2 linked regions of the Xenopus tropicalis genome follow. The protein of the gene in region 1 interacts with the protein of each later gene in a biochemical or structural test. Links are inferred from orthologs where the notes say so. Each region holds a gene or a part of one and is shown in the gene's direction. Other genes may lie near its edges.

Region 1 (3,831 bases):
GTAGCTTCTGTTAAAGGTATATAACATAACTGTGTATGCCTCCCCCCCCCCCCCCCCCCGGCACACAGAATCAGTAGGCTTCTGTATTTTCACAGACAAATGCATTATTTGAACATTCTACCAGCTAATTAGAGTGGCATTCTGGCAGACAGTTGGTTAATCTGCATTTAGAACAATTTTAAAAATGTTAAAAAAAAAATCTTTCATAGCTTAAGTATGAATGAATAGCTCTTTGACTTCCACACCACAGCTTCCTGTTCTGTCTACTAGGTTTAAGTTTTCTATAAGGGCAAAGGTTAAGTAATGACTAACTGGCGTTAATGCTTGCAGGAAAATAAGGCTGCCTACAGACAGTCTCCTTTACATTGAGGGTGCTGTAAAAAAAAAAAAATCAGTGGCAGAAAGTAAATATTTTTTTTCAACAGCATCAATAAGTTCTGTAGTCCTTTGTTGCATTAACAATATGTCTTATGTGGCTGTAAGCTAAGTGGGATAGTACATGTAGGTTGCTGTAAACAGTTTGCCTTTAAATATATTGCACACAACAGAAAATATATCATAGCCTTAAGAGTTTGTTGCAAAGTATCATTTCCCTTAGATGGATAGTGTTAGATTTTTTGCATAACGAATGAAAATGCAATTTTTAGCAACTTTCTAGTTTACTTTAATTTAATATTTTCATTTATTTCAAAGGGTATTTGTAAATATAGTTGTTGTGAAAAGTGGTATCTACTATTCTCTCAACTTCTTGTTCTGATTACTTATACCATTGTCACACAATATTTTTGGCTTGCTCCAGCCACAATACTTTACACGTTCTGTGAAAGTGCTGAGAATAACAGTAAAAGGCATTGGCCAGAGGAGAGCTGACGTATTGCGTTTTCACTAAAACTCTGATGGCAGACAAATGTATAGATTAGATATTGGATATTATATTTTTATAAGCAGCTACAATGTTTAGTTATATAGTTTCCCTCTATGCACTTGTAAGGCATAGAGAGTTGTGTATGCTTTCTGAATGGAGCATAAGGGTTTTTTTTTTACATTTCATTTCCTCCTCCAATAATGATCTCTATTTTTCTTTTATATTTTCATTAGGTTGACCCAAAGGATTATATGTTTTCTGGACTAAAGGACCAGACTGTAGGCAAACTGCCAGATAAAGTTGCAGGTCAACAATTTGTTATACAGGAGTGTGAAAACTGCAACATCTACATCTTTGACCACTCTGCAACCATCACTATTGACGATTGTACCAACTGTCGCATATTTTTAGGGCCTGTAAAGGGCAGTGTGTTTTTCCGTGACTGTAAAGACTGCAAATGCGTGGTGGCCTGCCAACAATTCCGCACTAGGGACTGCAGGAGAATGGATGTGTTCCTGTGCTGCTCCACCCAGCCTATTATAGAGTCCTCTACAGGCATGAAGTTTGGATGCTTTCAGTACTATTACCCAGAGCTGGCATTGCAGTTCAAGGAAGCTGGATTGAGCATTTTTAACAATACATGGAGCAACATCCATGACTTTACACCTGTTGCTGGAGAAACAAACTGGTCCCTTCTCCCACCTGATTCTGTCATCCAAGATTTTATACCCCTGCCTGATTCAGAAGAGCTGAAATGTGTTCGGGTTTCTGCAGATATTCATAAGAGCATAATACCTGTAACCTGGGGGCAGCGGCTGAAGAAAAGTGATGAATCCTGCTTGGTGGTTTTCTTTGCTGGAGATTACACCACAGCAAATGCTAGAAAAATGATCGATGAGGTAATAGAAGTTGCAATCTTTTATTGCACCTGGCCAGGGCTAGTATAAATGTATAATATATTACAATTCAGTTTATTGTTAAGCATCAAAATTATGTTTCCTGTATAAAAGCGAAATTTACAGTTTGAAAGCAAGAATTCTGGGATGAATCCTATTATTGCTCTTAAAAATTTTCATTGACATGGAATAACTGAAGCTGCAGTGTTTTAAAGCACAGCTAAAGCAGTATGCTGATCAGTTTTCCAATTCCAGGCCATTCATCCTTCTTGGAGCTCTTCAGTACATTGTCTAGCTTTCTGATAAGCTTATATAGAGCTAGGGAAGTGGATTCACAAAAAAAGCATTTTGGTTTGAGGCGAGAGCATCCTCATTCATTTGAAAAGCAGAACTAATTCTTGCAAGAAAGCCCAGTATTGCTCTTTGCAATGGCATTGAACACCCTTATAGCTAAAACCCACCCACTGAGTTTTAATGCACAGGCATAGAAGAATGCTGTGGTTTTTTGGAAACATGACTAAAGGTGGCCATAGACGTAACAATTATGATCTTTCCTGTGACCATTGGTCACAAGAAAGATTGTTCGTACCCTCCACTGAAGTTCAGGGCTGAATTGTATCATATAGAGGTAGAAACAATAGGAATTCTAGCCCTATCTGACGATTCAGCCCTAAAAGCAGCTTTTGCTCCACGCCTTCAATGACGATCAAAATATTTGCCACGCCTGAAGGCATTTGAGATATCGGTCATCTCGTTGAGCCACCATACACGCCCCAAATATTGTACAAAACCTTGTTTTGTACGATAATATCGGTGCTTGTATGGTCAGTTTTATACATACTTATTTTGTGATAAGGTAAAAACCTATACCAAGGCCAGAGCTTTTTATGCTCTGATCAGCTCTGAAAAAAAGATTTGTAACTATTTTGGAGTCATTGTTAGTATGTGCCTGCTCTGCCCCATTTTTGGTAATGAAGCTTCTTTTTCCAATTGATGGGGCTGAGCTGGACCAGGAAAGTGCATATTTTTTTTTCTCCCAGCATAAGAGCAGGAAGGTAACGCATGCTACCTTAATAATAGTTTTATGACACTTGTGAGACTAAAATTTAATATTTTGTGATATATATAGTTCAAGTTTTAAAAGGGAAAAAACAAAACAAATGTATTAATTTTTAAAGTATCCCTCCTAATGCTAAAACTATACCCTTTAGTGAATATCATAGTGTCTTTGCACTTATAAAAAGCTTGTTATTTTCTAGAAGAGCCCCATCTTTTGGGGGGGTTTTATTGTTGGTAATCTCTACCATGTTGTGCCTAACCCACTTTTTCATCCTTAATGCAGATGGTTGGCAAAGGGCTATCTCTTATTCAGACTAAGGAAGTTGCAATGAAAACTGAAGATGCAAAAAGAGTATTTCAGGACAAAGTCACAGATTTAATCTCTCTGGTGGAGAAAGGTATGACCTAGGCCTTGCTGAAGGTTCATTTTTAATTTTTACAGCATTTCATCACCCTGCACTTGTAATGCAGTCATAGGATATGAAAACAAAACTGTGCCTGATATAATAAAAAATCAGAATTTGATTTATGTGGTAACTCGTGCCTAACCTTAAATGAAGAAATAGGCCACCACTTTCCATAAGATAACTGTAGATAAAAATCCTCACATGGTTACTTTACCCAGTGTCATTGGGTATGATCCTTATATGTAATTGGCCAGCACTCACCAATTCTACTTCTCTAGAAAACAGGTGCCTTTTGCAGGTTGTCCACTAGTCAACTAGGAATCACAGCACCATCCAAATTTCCAAATTTAAAAAGCCTTTATTGGAATCTCATGGCTGTCAGTCTCTCGATCAAACAACATTTCAGGCCCAACCATGGCCCTTTTCCAACTGAAGCTATGCCCTATATTTTGTCTTTATCCTTATGTCCTGCCTACAATTTTTCCTCTCAAGGTCCTGTAGTTGCACTGGAATTTAATGGCGATGGAGCAGTAGACAACTGTCAGTCAGTGATCAGCAACACCTTCAGTGGCTCCAAGGTGAGTGGTTAAGCCTGAGAGAAAAA
Region 2 (4,588 bases), on another chromosome or scaffold:
GACAGCACTCACTATACATGATTAGAGTGCCGTTAAAATGAAATCATTATTCAAAAGAGACAGCACTCGCTATACATGATTAGAGTGCCATTAAAATGAAATCATTATTCAGCAGAGACAGCACTCACTATACATGATTAGAGTGCCGTTTAAATCACATTATTCAGAAGAGACAGCATTCACTATACATGATTAGAGTACCGTTAAAATCAAATCATTATTCAGAAGAGACAGCACTCCCTATACATGATTAGAGTGCCATTAAAATGAAATCATTATTCAAAAGAGACAGCGCCATTTAAATCACATTATTCAGCAGAGACAGCACTCACTATACATGATTAGAGTGCCATTAAAATGAAATCATTATTCAGCAGAGACAGCGCCATTTAAAGCACATTATTCAGCAGAGACAGCACTCACTATACATGATTAGAGTGCCGTTTCAGCAGAGACAGCTCTCCATATAATTGACTAAACTGTAGCATATCCCACACAGCTCAGCAGGTACAGTTCCCCCTATAGGGAACCGCTCATAATACATTATATATAACTGACATATACATAACTCTACATACATAACTCTACCCATACGTACTATACCGATACGTACTATACCGATACGTACTATACCGATACGTACTATACCGATACGTACTATACCGATACGTACTATACCGATACGTACTATACCGATACCCATACTTACTATACCGATACCCATACTTACTATACCGATACCCATACTTACTATACCGATACCCATACTTACTATACCGATACGTACTATACCTATACCCATACTTACTATACCCATACTTACTATACCGATACGATTGTAAGCTCTTTTGGGCAGGGCCCTCTTCACCTCTTGTATCTGTTACTGATTGCTTTATATGTTACTCTGTATGTCCAATGTATGTAACTCACTTATTGTACAGCGCTGCGGAATATGTTGGCGCTTTATAAATAAATGTTAATGTAATGTATGTACTATACCGATACGTACTATACCGATACGTACTATACCGATACGTACTATACCGATACGTACTATACCGATACGTACTATACCGATACGTACTATACCGATACGTACTATACCGATACGTACTATACACGCTTCAGCAGGCACATTTCTCCCTATATCAGATTATCAGCAGGCACATTTCTCCCTATATCAGATTATCAGCAGGCACATTTCTCCCTATATATGATATATATAAGATTACAGTTGCTTACAATGCCACAATGGACACATAAGGGCAGTTAAGGAGTACATATGGCACAGGAACCTTGCAATAGCCTTTCACCTATACATATGATGCAACCATAACAAAATTCAAAGCCACCAATGCACATCGGTTAGGCATTTACTTGTACATAGTGCAAACTCCTCATGTACCGTACCTGTACCGTGGCTACAACTCTTCACTCCACTAACTGCCATTCACTTTTCAGGTCTTCCGTCCACGCTAGCTACTTAGATCACTGTAGCCTTTAGGACTGCCCCCACCTATTACCTCAGCCAATCGAGTCCCATATCTGTGCCGCTCCCACTTTCTCTTCCCTTGGTGCTTTACAAGCGACTGCAAGTTTTCCGCATGCGCACACCGCCGCAAGGTGGTAGTTCAGGGCGAGGTTTGCCCTCAATGCGCAGCGTCTAGGGGCGTGGCTAAACGTACAACGCACGCCGCGTCGCTGGGTGACGTAGTTGCCCCTGGTAACCTGGAGAGTCGCTGAGAGGATGGTGAGTGGTGCTTTGAGGGGTTCTCGTATCTGGTATTTTAGGATGTTAAAATCCTTCAGGAGTTTGGGGAGGGAAAGAGGCAGCAGATAATGAAAACTAGCTTATTTATTGGTAAATAAAAAATGTGTAATAGGAGAATTCCTCAATGGGTATAGAAAGCTATGGTTGCCGGGACGCCATGATGCTAAAGAGGTAAAAAGGGAGGGGAGAGGGAGGACTGTCACCGTTCCGCTGCTCATCCATTGCTTTTCAGCTTAAATCGCACACACCGTAACCGGGACCGGGAACTATAACTACCAGAATCCCCTGATAGCCGGACATTGTAGTTCCAGGCCAATAGGAGAGTCACAGCTAGAGGCTCTCCGGCTCCAAGGGGTTAAGGAAAGAGATTAAATCGGCAAAGCTCCAGGCCTAATGCCAGGTCTATACCAAAGGGAATACAGATATTACCTTATCTTTTAATTCGAGCATAAAAATCTTTGGTCTCTTTTAGAGACTGCTCTTATCTATTTCTCCTGGGTCTCATTGATGTATTACATCCTGTACATCAGTAGAATAGTCCCCAGCAGCAATGCATGGATGTAGATAAGTAGAGATAACGTTATGTTTTATACAAGCAGTAGTATCTGGAGAGGAGGCAGACCCTGCAGTTGCTGCTAGTTTTGGAGGGCGCTCAAATGATCTCGCTGTGGGGCTCCGTTATGCTGCTGTTGACTATAAATCAATGTGGATCAAATTTTATTTGTAGTTTGTTGATCATTTTTTACATTACATGTTCCGCTGCTGGATTATATGCACATTTTGATGTCATAAAAATACGTTTTTTAAACCCTTGAGCAAACTAGGGGCTGTAATAATGACTTGAGGAGTTAAGGTGGCCATACATGTCAAGATCCGCTCTTGTCTCGATATCCCCCACCTACGGGTGGGGGATATTGGGTGAATTCAGGCTAATTCGGTTGGTTGTTTGGCCCTGGGGACAAACGATCGAATTAGAACGCTGGTAATAGGCGCAATTGGTTCGGGGACTGCATCAACGAGCCGTCGTAGTCCCCGATCCGACCAAATTTTTTAACCTGCCCGATTGATATCTGCCCCATTTCAGGCCAGATGTCGGTCGGGCAGGCCTGTTGTCCCCCTACATGGCCCGATAAGCAGCCGAATCAGTCTAAGGTCCCGATATCGGCAGCTACAAGGTGTATGGCCACCTTAAAGGCCTATAATGCTCTAGTTTGTACAGACCTGCCATACAGAATGATGTTGCCCAATTTTCCCTATTGAAGTCATTATTGGCATCTCTGTCCCCAAAATAGGAACTTGCAAGCAGATAAGTAATTATGATAACATTTATTTGTCAGTTGCACCGCTTATTCAAGAGTTTCATCCTAATATTCCATTCCTAATACGCTTCACCTGCAAAAACTTTTCTAATGGTTGACCACAATGCATTATGAGTGGTTCTGTTTCAGTAAGCATTGTTTCATGTGTGGTAAAAATAACTGTGAACATATGTATTCTTCTATATTAACAGACTAGGCAGAATGTATTTGTAGGGTAAGTTCTATTCATTTGATGGTGAAGCTATATGTAGATGTATACTGCCCTTTTAAAGGAACACTAACATCAAAAAATGAAGGCGTTTTAAAGTAATTGAAATATAATGTACTGTTGTCCTGTACTATTGAAACAGTTGAGTTTGCTTCAGAAACCCAACTATGGTTTATATAAATACACTGCTGTGTAGCCATGAGATGCAGCCATTAAACTGGGGAAAAAAGGAGAAAAGATACAGGTTACATAGCAGAAAACATATTAGCCCATGGCTACACAGCAGCTTGTTTAATATAAACTATAGTAGTGTTTCTGTAGCAAACACACACATTTTAACATTTCAGGGCAACAGTACATTATGTCCTGATTACTTTAAAACATTTTCATTTCATTTATTTTGGTGTTACTATTGTTACTTTATGTATTTAACTATTTTTGGCTGCAGTTCTCCAGTTTGGAATTTGGATTAAGATTTAAAGTCAGATTTAATACATAAAAACATAATATATAAATGTTTAACTTATTTAATACATAAAAATCATGATCTGTGTATTTCTATGGAAATTTTAGAAGCATATTTATCAAATTGTGAACTTTCACCGATTGATAAATACACTTCTTAAAAACCCATAGGAATGAATAGAACATGGGTGAGTTTTTGTGTGTATTAGACTTTAAACTCACATTTTGATAAATCAGTAACACTAGCAATGGGCCTCTTTGTTTAAATATATTTACAACTGTATGTTTCATAATGTATAACAATTATTATAAATCATTTTTGATATAGTGCTGATGTTAAACAACACTTTATAGTGGTTGTTGATCATTCACATTAGTTCCTGTCCTAGTGGTGTTTACAGTGTATATTTGTTTCAATTAAACTTGCATATACAGGTATTGGACCTGTTATTCAGAATGCTCAAGGCCTGGGGTTTTACAGATAAGGGATTGTTCTGTAATTTGGATCTCCATACCTTAAAGGAACAGTAACACCAAAAAATTAAAGAGCTTTAAAGTAATAAAAATATAATGCACTGTTGCCCTGCACTGGTAAAACTGGTGTGTTTGCTACAGTAACACTACTATAATTTATATAATAAGCTGCTGTGTAGCCACGGGGGCAGCCATTCAAGCTGGAAAAAAGGAGAAAAGGCACAGGTTACATAGCAGATAACAGATAAGTTCTGTAGAATACAATAGTGTTTTATCTGTTATCTGCTATGTGCCTGTGCCTTTTCTCCTTTGAATGGCTGCCTCCATGGCTACACAGCAGCTTATTTATAT

What was found.
Region 2: the proteins of rp2 (region 1) and arl3 form a complex in vitro, tested with the Homo sapiens proteins (2 studies listed by BioGRID). The link is inferred for Xenopus tropicalis from reciprocal best matches to the Homo sapiens genes RP2 and ARL3.

What each region holds. Positions count from the first base shown.
Region 1 is NC_030678.2:114,951,954-114,955,784, forward strand, and holds part of rp2 (protein XRP2), read left to right. Parts: intron 1-1,098; coding exon 1,099-1,764; intron 1,765-3,103; coding exon 3,104-3,218; intron 3,219-3,719; coding exon 3,720-3,805; intron 3,806-3,831. UniProt on the Homo sapiens protein: Acts as a GTPase-activating protein (GAP) involved in trafficking between the Golgi and the ciliary membrane.
Region 2 is NC_030683.2:29,019,446-29,024,033, forward strand, and holds the start of arl3 (ADP-ribosylation factor-like protein 3), read left to right. Parts: upstream 1-1,653; 5' UTR 1,654-1,747; coding exon 1,748-1,750; intron 1,751-4,588. UniProt on the Homo sapiens protein: Small GTP-binding protein which cycles between an inactive GDP-bound and an active GTP-bound form, and the rate of cycling is regulated by guanine nucleotide exchange factors (GEF) and GTPase-activating proteins (GAP).